Linked DNA regions of Coturnix japonica. The protein of the gene in region 1 purifies or fractionates together with the protein of each later gene. This does not show direct contact. Links are inferred from orthologs where the notes say so. Each region holds a gene or a part of one and is shown in the gene's direction. Other genes may lie near its edges.

Evidence for each region.
Region 2: the proteins of FBXL5 (region 1) and MMS19 purify together in Homo sapiens (affinity purification with mass spectrometry; 4 studies listed by BioGRID and IntAct, counting the BioPlex papers as one, with this or other methods). This does not show direct contact. The link is inferred for Coturnix japonica from reciprocal best matches to the Homo sapiens genes FBXL5 and MMS19.
Region 3: the proteins of FBXL5 (region 1) and CIAO2B purify together in Homo sapiens (affinity purification with mass spectrometry; 3 studies listed by BioGRID and IntAct, counting the BioPlex papers as one, with this or other methods). This does not show direct contact. The link is inferred for Coturnix japonica from reciprocal best matches to the Homo sapiens genes FBXL5 and CIAO2B.
Region 4: the proteins of FBXL5 (region 1) and ACO1 purify together in Homo sapiens (affinity purification with western blotting; 3 studies listed by BioGRID, with this or other methods). This does not show direct contact. The link is inferred for Coturnix japonica from reciprocal best matches to the Homo sapiens genes FBXL5 and ACO1.

Annotation. Positions count from the first base shown.
Region 1 is NC_029519.1:69,533,617-69,537,182, forward strand, and holds part of FBXL5 (F-box/LRR-repeat protein 5), read left to right. Parts: coding exon 1-445; intron 446-2,188; coding exon 2,189-2,337; intron 2,338-3,566.
Region 2 is NC_029521.1:19,491,371-19,494,936, forward strand, and holds part of MMS19 (MMS19 nucleotide excision repair protein homolog), read left to right. Parts: intron 1-26; coding exon 27-113; intron 114-402; coding exon 403-477; intron 478-766; coding exon 767-844; intron 845-1,160; coding exon 1,161-1,299; intron 1,300-1,715; coding exon 1,716-1,870; intron 1,871-2,069; coding exon 2,070-2,148; intron 2,149-2,412; coding exon 2,413-2,538; intron 2,539-2,840; coding exon 2,841-2,922; intron 2,923-3,269; coding exon 3,270-3,367; intron 3,368-3,566. UniProt on the Homo sapiens protein: Key component of the cytosolic iron-sulfur protein assembly (CIA) complex, a multiprotein complex that mediates the incorporation of iron-sulfur cluster into apoproteins specifically involved in DNA metabolism and genomic integrity.
Region 3 is NC_029526.1:9,722,425-9,726,244, forward strand, and holds CIAO2B (cytosolic iron-sulfur assembly component 2B), read left to right. Parts: upstream 1-1,458; 5' UTR 1,459-1,530; coding exon 1,531-1,663; intron 1,664-1,742; coding exon 1,743-1,822; intron 1,823-1,929; coding exon 1,930-2,055; exon of another isoform or gene 2,056-2,073; intron 2,074-2,493; coding exon 2,494-2,539; intron 2,540-3,044; coding exon 3,045-3,142; 3' UTR 3,143-3,259; downstream 3,260-3,820. Other genes in the region: fatty acyl-CoA hydrolase precursor, medium chain-like, read right to left, coding at 293-368.
Region 4 is NC_029547.1:62,725,543-62,729,108, forward strand, and holds part of ACO1 (cytoplasmic aconitate hydratase), read left to right. Parts: intron 1-130; coding exon 131-268; intron 269-2,012; coding exon 2,013-2,082; intron 2,083-2,185; coding exon 2,186-2,369; intron 2,370-3,006; coding exon 3,007-3,146; intron 3,147-3,566. UniProt on the Homo sapiens protein: Bifunctional iron sensor that switches between 2 activities depending on iron availability. Iron deprivation, promotes its mRNA binding activity through which it regulates the expression of genes involved in iron uptake, sequestration and utilization.

The DNA of each region.
Region 1 (3,566 bases):
AACCCGACGGCTCTGAAAACTTCAGTTCTGCGTATGTGTGGATGCTGAATGCAGATGATTTAGCTGATATTGAAGATGCTGCTGAGTGGAGACACAGAAATGTTGAAGGATTTTGTCTTGTGGAGCCAGCATCCCACATTAATTGTTCTGCATCTTGCTGCAGTAGAGACATTTATGGTTTAAGGACTAGAGGGTGGCAGCAGCACTGTGCTTCTACTGACTTCATTTACTGCGGTCACTCATTTTGCTGTGCTGGAACAGCACTAAGAACTATTCGAGCACTTCCAGAGTCCTCTGCACTGTGCAAAAAACCACCAAGGACTAAACAGTCAGAGGAAAAAGACTTGGCCTACTCTGGCAGTGACAAACCAGATGAAGAGACTGCACGAGTTCTTCAGTTTCTCAGTCTGTCTGGGTGTTACCAGATCACAGATCGTGCTCTCAGGTGAAAAGACGTTTCTGAGCTGTTTTGCTGCAGTGTGGTTTTTGTATTATCTGTGTGCTTGGGTTGCTCTGGGTTGAATCCACCTAGTCGCAGTTTAAGCATTTACATTGAGAACATCCAGTATATCTTAAGCAGTCCTTGCATCTCAAAGTATTGAGAATAGCAGATGTGAAAATTTTCTCCCAACTCTTCCTTTGAATGAAAGGATTAAAAAAGTTTCTTTTAGACAGCTCCTCTGAAATGAAGCACTTTGGTAAGTTTGCTTGCAGTAGATAAAAGCCTGACTTATTACTCAATGCCTTGTATTATGTCAGAAATGTGCAGCTACAGCTTCATAATGAAAATGAGACAAGACAGAAATGCTTGCAGTCACTTGCTCAGATGTGCTGTAGCTCCTGGGACTAATTAGAGCTGCTTGCAATTCAAGACTTCGTTCCTACTTGTACTGTACACTTTAGCCCGTGGAGAAACACTGTGAAGCACTGCAGGCACTGAATTGCCTCTCCATACACTTTGACACAGAATTTAGAGTACAGCTGTTCAGGTGTCTCCTAGCAGTTACTCAGGGACAGACAGCTGTGCTTTGCGGCTGAGCCTGATGTTGTCCAGGTGTAGGAGCAGACTGGTACTGCTGTCTGTGGTTTATTTGGCAATGGACAGGTAATGCTGCGTGTAGTTGACATGTTACCAGTGTTATTCTTCACTGAGTCCTATAGAATCAAAGGAAGACTTGATGCTTGAGTCATAGGGGGTGATTAGTTGTGGTCTCACATCAGTGCTTTTTGGTTACAGGGAAATGTTAAGAGTTGAGGGTATATTCTGCAGTAAGTGCTTCTTGCACTTCTGTAGTACTTTGGGTCCCAGAAGAAAAAATAATGAGACTCTAATGTACATTCATTTCATATAAACTGAACTTTATATTGATAGCTGGTTTTGTTAGTTGTTCTTTTTCCTGTCTGCTGACAAGGGAGGGTTTTGTATACTCATGCTTTTAGGACATAAAAGTGAAAAGGCCTTTGCTTGAACCTGGAACATGTTGATTGAAGCGTGAGTGGCTTTGTCTGTTCTCCCCTTTCTGACAGGTTTGCTGTCCTGTGAGCGCAGAGGAGCAGTCAGCCTAACACTGAGTGTGGGGTCAGATGCACTACAGCCTTGAGGCTCCTTTACCTGCAGTTGAACTCCTGCACTTGGAGTGAAAATAGAATTTGGCTTGAATAGTGTGTAGTGCTGTGATGGCAGAGAGAGGCTCAGCTGGTAAAGATTCATCTGACCCAAGGAAATACAAATTTGAGTTTCAAACTGACTAATAAAAACATAATACTCAAATTTTTTGGAAATTTTACACACCAAACTTGCAGTTCTGTTTTTGGGATGTGTTGAGAAATACACATCGCCATGGGAGTCTCACCAGTATCAGTGGTGTGTTGGAGAAGTGTGTCATGCTGGCTCCTAGAAATACTTGGTCATCCCCAGAATCATTAATGAAAAGTGGTTTCCCACAGAGCTGTATTTCTGTCAAAGGGAATTGTTAATTTCTGTAGAGATGGATTCATTTTTCAGCCCTGTCGTGTGGCTTCAAGGCTGATTAACCGTATGGGATGCCAGACTTGAAATTAAGTGGCTTATTAGAGGTGTGGTTTTCTTGCAGGATGTTAGTAAATACGTGACGTGGTGACATACAGGAGTACTTGTCAGCATAGTGCTGTGCCAGCTTTTAACACCCCTCTTTCTGTCTGTTCACAGGGCATTGACTTTGGGAGGAGGACTGCCACACTTGGAGCACCTCAATCTCTCGGGTTGTCTCACTGTAACTGGTGCGGGCCTGCAGGATTTAGTTTCTGCATGCCCTTCTCTAAATGATGAACACTTTTACTACTGTGACAACATTAACGGTAATGTCTTTTTATGAAGATGTGATCCTTGTCTGGGGAGTAATGTCTGGCTTAAGGATGTTTAAGAAACAAAGAAAAAAATCCCACCGCCAAAAAAACCCCAACACGCTGCAGCACTGCCAAAACCACACAAACTAAAAGCCTGCAAACTCTTTTCTTGGCTGCACAGCACTGAATTCAAGTGCTAGTTACAGAATCAGAACTGTTATGTCAGGTTGGCTTTTTGTATTTAAGTTTAATGCAGTTCTGTATTGCCTAGGGGGAAGGCATTCTTGGTCCATGTTCTCTTACTTTCTAAGCCTCTATTACCTATGCTAATCTGAAGTAAGTATATAACTGATACATGGTTGTCTTCTTCATCTCTTCCCTGTAAATGATGTTGAGTGCTTTCTTTATGGTGCTAAATCAAGAAAGAGCTGTCATTAGATTTGTAGCTTAGTGATTTTTTTGGGGGTGATGGAGAGAGGGCAGAGCTGGTTATGCAAACCTCACACGTTACAGTGGTTTGGGTGTAGAATACTATCATGTGTCCTTGTAGGAAATGTAACTTGGTCTTTCTAGCTTTGCTTGAATTACTTAGGGTTGAATGTTAGCTGGAGAAGGATCTGGAGAAATGCATAAAATATGTTTGTGGTGGAAGTCTTAGCGTTCACTGCAGCGCAATCCAGTCTTATGTCAGGTCCAGTAAGCATTCATAGCATTAGAGATGGGAACCACGGTGTGATTTTATTCCATGTGTGAACTTAAAACAGGTAAGTGCAACAGAATGGAAAGGAAGGATAATTGGGTTCACAGGGCTATAAGAACTGTGTGTAAAACAATATGGTATTTCCCTGATAGTTCATGGCAGTCAGCTCAGTTGGCATCTGTACTGAGCTGTAGCCACAGCAGCTATACAGGATGCCACAGCTTTGGTACTGTGAGTGAAACTGTACCGATGCTTGGGTATTCTGTCCATTGAAAGTCATGTGAGGTGATGTGCTTTACTGGACTGGATCCTTATGTTACAGGTCAGAGTATTAAATCATTTTTGCTTCCATAATTTTTGGATGACTTCATGGACTTTTGTGACACATTGATGCATTTCTGGTTTGTTACCTGGTTCTTTTCCTTCTTGACTTCTAAAATCTCTCCTTGCATTTCAATCTGGAAACTTTTATACCTTTTTAAAATCCTTCACTGACTCTTTCCTGCATCAAGTTGAACTTAATGTCTTATATGGAACCCTT
Region 2 (3,566 bases), on another chromosome or scaffold:
ACGTGCTCTCCATACTTCTCTTCCAGCCCCCCAATGATCCACACGGCATCCAGAGAGAAGATCTGATCCTTAGCCTCCGGGCTGTACTGGCCTCCACGCCGCAGTTTGCTGAGGTAGGTAGCAGTTTGGGTTCTTGAACACAGGCCGCCTTTCATAATACTGCAACTCTTAGTGCAGCTCTGCAGGAAGTAAATGAGACCAGGAGTCTGTGCAAGGACACCCCATGTCCTGGTACTCCTTGTGTCCTGCCAGTCCCTGGGGCTGCGCGTGTGGAGGGTGCTGCCTGTTGCACGTTTTTCTCTACCTCTGCCTCTCCTGGCAGAGGCTGAGCTTGCAGCCCTGCAAGGCCATGGATAAAGTGGTACAAAGAGCAGGATGAGTCTTAACCATCTCTTTCTGCAGTTCCTGCTCCCTCTGCTCATCGAGAAATTGGATTCAGACCTGCAAAGTGCCAAGCTTGACTCCCTGCAGACTCTGGTAAGGAGGGATCCACCGCTCCCTTTAGACCACAGCTGGACAGTGCCAGTAGAAGCCAACCACCTCCAAGCTCCTCTCTTGTATCTGGCAGCCAAAGTCTCTCACTTGCAGAGCCTGGTTTATAGTTTCTAGGATCCTAGTTAGGCCTGCATCACTCTTTCCTCTCTTTGAGTGCTTCATGTAGTCCTGCTTGAGTCTGCCAGTGTGGGCAGCATCCCTGCTCTCTGTTCTAATGACACAAGTTTGTTTTGCTTTGTTTTGTTTTTTCTCTCCTGGCTCCTTTTTACAGACTGCTTGCTGTGCTATCTATGGGCAGAAGGAGCTACAGGAATTCCTCCCTAGCCTCTGGTCATCCCTGCGCAGGGAGGTGAGTACTGCAGAGCCCCTAACAAGTATTCCAGCACAGCTGGACTCCTCCTGAGCAGGAGTTCACAGACAAACCAGTAGAGCCCCATATCTCCCTCCAGCCCCCACCTGTGGCCTTGGACAGCTCATATGAAAAGTGGGGATGGGGGGGGACAGGCTACCCCTACTGGTGTGTCTGGGGGGATTGTTGGGTGTGCTTGTTCAAGGCACTCAGGAAGTGATAATGGAGCCTGAGCCTCTTCAGCCCATGTTGGGAGTGTAAAGCCTGTGGTTGGGGTCAGCACTGAGCTCAGCTTACCCCACGGCATCTCCTGCAGGTGTTCCAGACAGCGAGTGAGAAGATCGAGGCAGAGTGCCTCTCTGCATTGCACGCCCTTTCTGCTTGTCTCTCCCGTTCTGTGCTCAGCTCAGATGCCGAGGACCTGCTGGACTCCTTCCTTAGCAGCATTCTGCAAGGTAGCTGCCAGGGAGACCTGCCCGTCTCTGAGCAGAGTGGCCTGTTGGCATTGCCAGACCTGCAAGCATCCTCCTAGCCAAAGGGAGGTGTTCTGCCCTCATGTTCTCCTTGAAGCCTGTTTCTTCTATTTCTGGCAGCTAGTGTTGGCTTCCCTGAGAGAGTATCAGCTGTAGGAGGGAGGAGAAGAGGGTACAGTAGGAAATAAAAACTGAGTGGAGTTGCTTCCCTCTCTTTGCAGTGGGATGTCCAAAGCTTTGCTGTGTGCCTGGAGCTGGGGGCAGCAGCTCTGCCTAGGAGGCTGCACTGCAGCTCAGAGCTGTGTCCCAGCGGCACATTGTAGTCCAGTTATCAGCCATGCCCTGCACGTGAGGCAGAGGCGGTTCTGCCGGTGTAGCTAACACCCAGCCTATCTCAGATTGCAGACACCATCTCTGTGAGCCTGACATGAAGCTGGTGTGGCCAAGTGCCAAACTCCTGCAGGCAGCAGCAAGTGCCTCCCTCCGCACTTACCACCGCCTCACCCACAGCATCCTTCCCCTGCTGCTGGAGCAGTACAACAAGCATTCACAGGTGAGGGGCACCCTGGGCTCAGCGGTCACAGGCAGCGGGGTTGAGTGCACCTTGTGACTGTCCAACTTGGTGAGAGGAAGGGGGCATCAACCAAAGTGGGTGTCCTTCCCTGGCTGTGGGTGGGCACCCCTGGCCTTGTGGCATTGGGCTGAGATGTTGCAGTGACAGAGAGCTGGGTTACACCTTTGTATCCCTGCAGAGCAGCCAGAGAAGGACAATCTTGGAAATGCTGCTGGGTTTCCTGGAGTTGCAGCAGAAATGGGGACATGTAGAAGAAGGTGAGGTTTGCTGGTCTTTCGGAAGGAACCCAGACTCCCTTAAGTGTGACCCTGAAAGCTTCTGGCGCTGCTTTGCCTTCCCTTATGCTGACAGAGGAGACAAGCTCATTGACTTGGGTGGCTGCATGTGCAGCCTGCCCCAGGGATTTAGTGTGATTGGATGTGAACTGGCAGGGCCTCAGGAAGTGTCTGTCTGGTGCTGTGTGGCAGTGGTTGTGCCGTGACAGTGAGCTGCAGGCAGTGACTCCATGCTTCTGTCTCCAGATGAGAGTGCTCTGCTGTCGCTCCAGGAGCCGGTTTGCTCTGTGGTGTTCTCAGCACTCACAGATCCCAGTGTGCAGCTCCAGCTGGTTGGGATCAGGGCACTGACTGTCCTGGGCTCTCTGCAAGGTTGGTGTTTCTCATCCCCTGGGGAGGCAGAGGGGAGGTGTTGCCCTGCTCTGGGAGCTGTGGTCAGCTGTCTGTGCTGCATGTGGATGCACAGGAGGAGTGGCAGCACTTCTTATCCAGTCTGTGAGCTCCAGGAACACTTGATTTATCTTGCCTGCTTGTACTGGGCACCTTGAATCTTTGGAGTTTGTGTGCTGCTGCATTGCTAATAGCCTGGACGAGAAGAGGGAAGGATGCTGGCCAGAACGCTGGGATCTCAGCCTTTGGCCAAGGGCATGATTCCTCTCCGGCTCTTGTTCCAGGCTTCCTGTCGCCCTCTGACCTGGAGCTGGTTGTGGATCATCTTGTCCGGCTCTCTCTGCACGAGGAAGATTCCCAGAGCAGGTGAGTGCTGAGCTGACACTGCTCCAGTCACCCATACTCTGGGATGAGGAACGAGATCTGGCTCTGCTACAGAGATGGGCTTAGTCTGGGTGGAGGCAAAGGAACTATGGAAAGACCACATGGGTCTAGAAGCAAAGGGAATAAGCCATGTGGTTTCTGGAATTGGAATTAAAAAGTCTGGGTCTGTCAAAGCAAGGGACTCTACTGCCAATAGGGTGAAAAAAGCAGAATCCTGAGAAATGGATTTCTGGTGGTACGTTCTGGCCAGGATCTTTGCAGCTGGTGCACAAACAGCCCAGAGTTTGCATTGCTTACATCACCCCTCCTGCTCTCTTCCCTCCTGGCAGTGAAGCAGCGATGGAAGCAGCTGGATCTCTGGCCCCTGTCTACCCAAAAGTTTTCTCTGGACGCATGGTACCCAGGCTCGGAGAGGAACTGCAGTCAGGTAAGGCTGACAGCCTTGCAAAGGGATTAACTTCTGGTATTGGGGTGAAAGAGAGAGACTGTGCCGTACTGTTCTCTGCACTGAGGAATTCCTAGCACATGTGCTGTGTTGCTTGCACAGAGGAAGCTGTGTCTGGAGATCACAAACAGCCTGCACAGCAGGGACTGCCCATGAGGAGCTGCCCAGTCACAGACAGGAC
Region 3 (3,820 bases), on another chromosome or scaffold:
CAAAACCATCAACATTTTTTAAATTCACCATTCAACAAAACAATGTCCTTTCAATAAACAACAAGCCCTTTTATCATTTTCATAAAAGCATCTCAAAATGGTTTCATTAAAAAAAAAAAGTCACTTTTGCGCTGAGCTTCTTAGGATCCTTTTGCAGATTGTTAATACAAATACAGGAGAAGTACTGCCTTTGAAAACTACTACCCTGTAATTTATTAGTGCAGTTTGTTTCCCCATTGGCAGTTAAAGAAATAATAATCAAAAATCCAAATCAAAAGACTTTGCATCTCACCTTCTGTTCCATAAATGATGAATGTTATACCACAAAACAAGATATAAAGCAAAGAAATCTGCGTTTGAGGAGCCATTTTTCTCCCAGGTTGGATTCCAGGTTATTTTCTGTTCTCTATGCGGAAGACACTGGTACAAAGGTCTCTGCTGACTGTGTAGTAGGGAGTACAGCTAAATCCCCTTCTGAAAATGCACCGCATTAGCACTTTCAGAGCTGTTACTGAGATGGAATACAAATACAATCCCTTAGTGTAACACACCTATTCATTACCTGATCCTGATGATGGATGATTTGGCCTCGCATCAACTGTGAACAATAAAAGGTCTTATCCTCATTAATCTGTTTTTAATTCTACAATCCTACGCACACCTCAATTCCCTCTGAAGTATTTACTACTTCATATTTTGAATAATATCAGTGCTACAAAGCAGTGAAATTTCAAAGAGTTTCAGAAGTACTGACTTACAATTCCTGTAAAGAAATGAACACAACAAAAAGCATGGTTGCAGATTACAAATAACTAGGAAGAAAGGAAGAAAGAAAAAAGCTTAGCTATTGCAAAGGTTTGATGAACGCTGGCATATCTGCACCACAATTGGCATGGTACGTGTGCTTTTCTGCAAGAACTGGCCTCCAACTTCCAAAGTAGTTTTTTAACACTTCTGCATATTTAAAATTAAATGAGATATTAAAGCTCCAGCACGAAGATACATAAAGCCTGCAAAGCCATCTTCTCCAACACAAATGGGTGATACATCATGCAAGTTCACCCTGTCTTGAAACACAGATTTGTCAGTTGGTTCTTCTTTAGATGCTTTTTCACCATAACGAGTTTCTCCTCAAAATACCAAAGCAGGAAGTGAGACCTATCAGCTCAAATGAGCTCTGGGCTATCCCACATAACAGCCCCTGCTCACCTCAGCAGCTTGGGCCATCACCTCCTTATCCTTTTTCTCCCTCTTCTCAGTGAACAAAATCAGTATCAGGTGTATTAGCAAAACGTTTTTAACACGCGACTCAACTCCCCCGCAGCACGGAGCTCACCTCGACGCCCCACAGCACCCCCCGCTCACCCACACCCCCATACCCCCCGCCCATCTCCTCTCCCCGCCGGCCTCAGCCCCGTTTCGTGCTGTTCCATCGCTCCCCCACACAGGGGCACTCTCGCACAAGCCGTGCCCGCCCGGTGCGTTGGTGAATCGCGTCCGGGCTCCTTCCGCTCCTCCTGCAGCGCAGACATGGTGGGTCCGGGCGCTGCGCCGCTGGAGAACGCCAACCCGCTCGTGTACCGCCGCTCGGGGGAGCGGCCCGTGACGGCGCGGGAGGAGGACGATGAGCTGCCCGACTCTATCGACGACCGGGAGATCTTTGATATCCTGCCGGCAGGGAGGGGATGGGGGGGTTTGATGCGGGGAGGGCGGCCTCCATCCTGCTTTCCTTAACGCGGCACATCTCATCCGCTCCATTAACGACCCCGAGCATCCCCTGACCCTGGAGGAGCTGAATGTCGTCGAGCAAGTTCGAGTTAAAGTGAGACTGTCTTGTTTTTTGTTGTTGATTTGTTTCCAACTTGTTTGCTCATTACATTGTTTTTGTATTCTTATTTTTTGGCCACACGCCTGTTTGTTTTCCAACAGGTGAACGATGCTGAGAGCACCGTAGTGGTGGAGTTCACACCCACGATCCCGCACTGCAGCATGGCAACGCTCATCGGCCTGTCCATAAAGGTGAAACTGATCAGATCACTGCCCGAGAGGTTTAAGGTGAGTGGTAAAATCGCTCTGGAAAGCAGAAGAGACAGACGGTGTTCAGAAAACAGCTAAATTAGAAAATGAAGCCACTAGAACTTTAGGTTCCATGTTATGGAGGAGGGAAACACTCCAGGCCAAGGAAAAAACTAAACAAACAGATTGGTGCAGAGCTGCAGTTCTGTGCTATAGCATCACAGGTGAGTGAGGTTGTGGTGTAAAGGCACGAGGGCACAGGAGATGGCAGTGCTTCACCTCCCTGCCTGTCGGAGGCTTACTCAGGTGGGAGTGCAGTGTTCTTTTGGACTGGGTTTTATTCTTCTGGGTACAGTAGCTGGCTGTGTCAGGAATGTCTTTCATTGTTGCTTTATTTTGCTATTTTCTTAATTAAATACTTTCATCTTTGAGGGTTTTATTGACTTGTCTCCTTTTTCTTTCTCCATGCTTTTTAAGATGGACGTTCACATAACACCAGGAACACATGCCTCTGAACACGCAGGTAAATGTTTTAATGCTCTGTTGTGTGGTTTTCTTTTATTACTCTAAAAATTAGAGAAAAGATAGATCCCTCCACCTGCAGATCAGCTGTTTGGTACCTGTATGCAAACCAGCCCCTTCTAGGAGATGTTACAGAATGGGAATATGTAATAACAAAACTTAAAAGTGTGTAGTGTCTTAGTTTAAATGTTTCCTTGGACAGCTTGTGCTGTCAAGTCGTCATTGATTTACCTGGAAGGCACAGAAAGAGGGGGGAGAGCTGGAGGTAAATTTCCTGTCCTGTTACATGTGCACAGCTTCCTGCTGCTGAATCATAAATAACTTACTGGTTTCAGATCTGCTACAGAACTGTCATTGACTTTTGGCCACAGCTTTGTGGTGTAGTTAGCATCTGTGGATTGTAGCTCAGTACCACAGCAACAATGAGACTCACTGTAAAGTGCTTCTAAAAGGACCTCTTATACCAATATTTTGACCGGTTCCTTGTGGTATTTCTTTTTGTACAGTTAATAAACAGCTTGCTGATAAAGAACGTGTAGCAGCTGCTTTGGAGAACTCTCACTTATTGGAAGTGGTAAATCAGTGTTTGTCTGCTCGATCGTAATTGCCTGATCAGGAAACCAGTGGTATTCTGCTGTATTAATTTTGTATGTGAGTGATGTTGCTAGTGTTACATGCATCTATGAGCAAAATAAAACTACATTATAGAAGCGTTCCATTACTTCGTCAAAACAAATTAAAGTAGTATGGAGAAAATTAGCTTGCTGGCAGCTATAAAGCTATAATGTAAATTGGCTTTTTCTGTTTGCTAATAATTGCACTGATGGGGTTTTTATCTGAACTTTTAAAGAATATTTGGTTGAACTTGTTTTTAAACAGGTTTCTTACTATCTATAAACTGCATTATGAAAGTGGCTTTTGCACATTGGGTTTCACAAGTATACCAAGCTAAGCAGCAGTTAAAATCTTTATACTCATGATTATTTTGGACTTTGACAGATTTTCCTTTAAACATCAAGATTTTTACAAAGATGAGTAGGTCACAAACAGATTGCTTTAACCTACACATCAAACAGAGGAGGAATTAGTAAATTATACTTAATCCGCATCTTAGCTTTCACCACTACATAATAATAGTAGTAAATAACGTATTGGATGTTACCACTTGCCTCCCAAGCCATGTTACACACAGCAGTCCTATGGGTACACTTTGCACTGCTTCCTTTTTCAGAGAAGCAACAGTATATGCTTAGGTTGTTCATAGTATGTAGTTGAGGAGCAT
Region 4 (3,566 bases), on another chromosome or scaffold:
AAGGCTTAGGGTGAGGCCACAGTTTGCTTCCTGTGTGGTTATATGTGCCTGTTCTGAGTCTCAGGGTTTAGACTGAGTTTGTTTTGCCTTTTTTTCTCCTTACACATTGCCCAATTATCTTCTATTATAGTGGGGTACCTGCTGTTGTTGACTTTGCTGCAATGCGTGATGCTGTGAAGAAACTTGGTGGGGATCCTGAAAAAATCAATCCTATCTGTCCAGCTGACCTAGTGATAGATCACTCCATCCAGGTTGATTTTAACAGGCGGTAAGGATACAAAACATCTCTTAGTTCTTAATGTTAGTAAGCTGGTAATGTAATTGTTGATATTCTATGCCTTTGAACTACAACATTGTAGAACCTGAGAAGTGATGAAGTTAAAGCATTGTATCAATTGCTGTGAAGAAAATAGAAATTTTATTCTTTCTGTAGTGCCTTTCTTAGCAGCGCAAGCCTGGACTGAATGTTAATAGAAACAGGCTCAGTCCAGACCTATAGTGATCAAAGTTTTCCATAATAATACTACATTGTTATTAGTTGTTCAAAAATAGCTTTTTTTCCACTTGCACTTTTAGACCTTGTGGGGCTTCCTGGAAAGGATAGGAAAGATTGTTTCTTTCCTTCCTTATTTGTGTAAGAGTGGACCTGAGCTGCCCTGACTCAGCTGTTTGCTGATTCTCTGCCTCCACAGGAAAGAGTGCAAGATATTGATTAGTATGACTGCTAGAAGTATAGGAAAGAAGTACAGTGCAAGCTGATTCTGAAAGTGCTACAGGCAGACAAATGTTCACTAGACTCGCAACTAAATCTGAGACCTCTAGAGAGGGTTGTTCCTTTTACCCTAATATATAAACATGAGCCTACCCAAATACTCGTTGAGGCAGATCCTGCCATTGCATGTTTCCTCGTGATTTCCTTCTGCGTACCAAACTTCTGAAGTTTGTTGGTCTGCAGTTGCCTTGCCTGCATAAATGCTCTGTATTTATTGTCCTCTGTAAGAGATAGTTTTGAAGCAGAGCTCAAAAAGATTTCAAGTAGAAATTAAAGAACGCAATGAACATTTTAGCACTGCCAATATTTTAAGGGCTCTGCTGAATAAAATTACTTTGCTTCTGGGCAGAGATGTAACACAGAACTTGTTTCAGAGCGGAATGTTGACGGAAAGTTTTTACATGTAACCTTTTTCTTCCTTTCTGTTTCATAACTGATGGGAGAAAAAAGGCCAAAAAATTTTGACATGCACTCCAGTCAAAAATAAAGTCCCTTTAATTTTTTGTAGAGGTGTTATTGTGAATCCTAACATTTTAAAATTTGTAACTGACATCTGTATCATTTTTATTAGATCCTTGGGAAGTAGTGCAATTTTTTTTTTTCCACTTTCACACTGTTTTGATCATTTTTTTCTGTCTATTTTAATTACTTTCATTTTATCAGTCCTATTCAGAACTTACATATCCTTTTTTCTAATAGTTACTTTTTGTCCCAGCCTTCTTTTAATTCTAGTAGGACCCTTGTATATGTGGAGAGAACACTGGCCAGTCCTGTGCTTTAGTTCTTTCAAACTCTTCATCCTTAGGTTAGGGAGCTGGTGTAAGTAGAAAGTTTATTAACCCTTTCTGTCTTAAACCACAGGGGTAGCTATTGCTTAATGTAAGCTGCAAGGTAGTTGTGTTCCAGTTCCCTTTTCTGCTTTTCTGATTTCCTTGTGTTTATTGAGGCCTTGAAAACTTCACACTGCTCTAATGTCTTATCTATGTTTTCCCAAAGTACAAGTTTCAAGACAGCCATCTGTATGATATGCGGACTAGTGCTCAGATTTAAACTAAACTTCTTGAATAATACAAGCAACATTGATTACCTTTGTTTTGCTGCTGTGATGACATTAAAAGCTGAGATTGATCAGCATTAAAATTAGCTAATAACTCTTCTTTCACCATTTGAGCATATTTGGCCATACATAAGTGTCAGGTGAAGCCTTTTGATTGTGACAGATGATTATTTTCATTTTCAGATCAGACAGCTTGCAAAAGAATCAGGATTTGGAATTTGAAAGGAACAAAGAAAGGTTTGAGTTCTTAAAGGTACTGAAGTAGTTAATCTTATTTGCATGACCAAAGATGGAACAAACATAAATTTGTCCAGTGCTCACATGTGTTAAAAATGTTTGACTATTTTTTGTTTCAGTGGGGCTCTCAGGCTTTTAAAAACATGAGGATTATTCCTCCTGGCTCTGGGATCATCCACCAAGTGAACCTGGAATACTTAGCAAGAGTGGTGATGGATCAGGATGGCTACTACTATCCCGACAGTGTGGTGGGCACTGACTCACACACCACCATGGTAGATGGCTTGGGAGTACTTGGCTGGGGTATGTGCAGTAGCTCACAGTGAATAGTGTGTTGGCTGATCAGTATTCTTTAGAACAGTCTGTATGCTTCAAAATTATAGAAATGTAGAATAGCTTGGGTGAGGAATGGACCTTAAGGATAAACTAGTTCTTACCCAATTTCATGAGTAGGGAACAACCTGTATCTTTGAGTATAGTAAACTTTCTTTCCTGTAAAACAACTTTTCTGTATAACCAGTAGTTACAATATATTTCATAAACAGCACACCAATGTTCTGTGCCACGTCAGGGTTTTTTTTCTTTATTTATTCATGGCATGGTTAAGTTATTAAATGAAATTTCTACATGCTCACTGTAAAATCCCAAGTCTCATCAGAGTGAGTTACTTAAATTTATCTAATATGCCATCTGATGGCTGAGGATCAAGTCTAAAAGTAGGAAACTGAAACTTATCCTTGCAGGAAAGAACAACCAAAAACCAAAACAGCCTTGCAAAAACTGAAGAAGACAAATATCTGTTCATAGAAGTCTCAGTCCTGTTTTACTTTTTCCCTTCTCTCACCTTAAATCAAGTCACCATAAAATACTTATCTCATGGGTTTATTTGACTCTTTTGTGTCTTTTGGATAGTCTGATGGTTTAATTCTTTTGCTTCCAGGTGTTGGTGGCATTGAAGCAGAAGCGGTGATGTTGGGCCAACCAATCAGCATGGTGCTTCCTGAAGTGGTTGGCTATAAGCTGCTAGGAAACCCTCAGCCATTGGTAACATCCACTGACATAGTGCTCACCATTACCAAGGTAATGAACATGCCTTTTCTTTCTTGTTTTGCTATTATTGCTGAACATGCGCTTTGAGAGCCCCTGTGCTGCACACTTGGAATCTGTGTATACTTCCATGTAGTTGTTTTGGTCCTTCAGACTTAATGCTCTGTGGATTGGAATCAACTACCCAAATTTGCTATGCAAATCTGTTTCCCAAAATCTAGCTAAAATAGAGCAGAGAGCTGATACCTAAAGGCCTGTTTAATTCCTTGTGTTGTAGGCCCATTTTGGAACAGCAGTATTTGTACAAAGTGCTTGATTCTTTATTATCTCAAAATAAACAGAATGGCTCTCTTTTGAAGGTCACACTTAAAGTGAGGCAATATAGAAGCTGAAAACAGTAGGTATTGCAGTCTGAGTTCTTTGATTTATGGGTATTTTGCTCACATGCTCGTA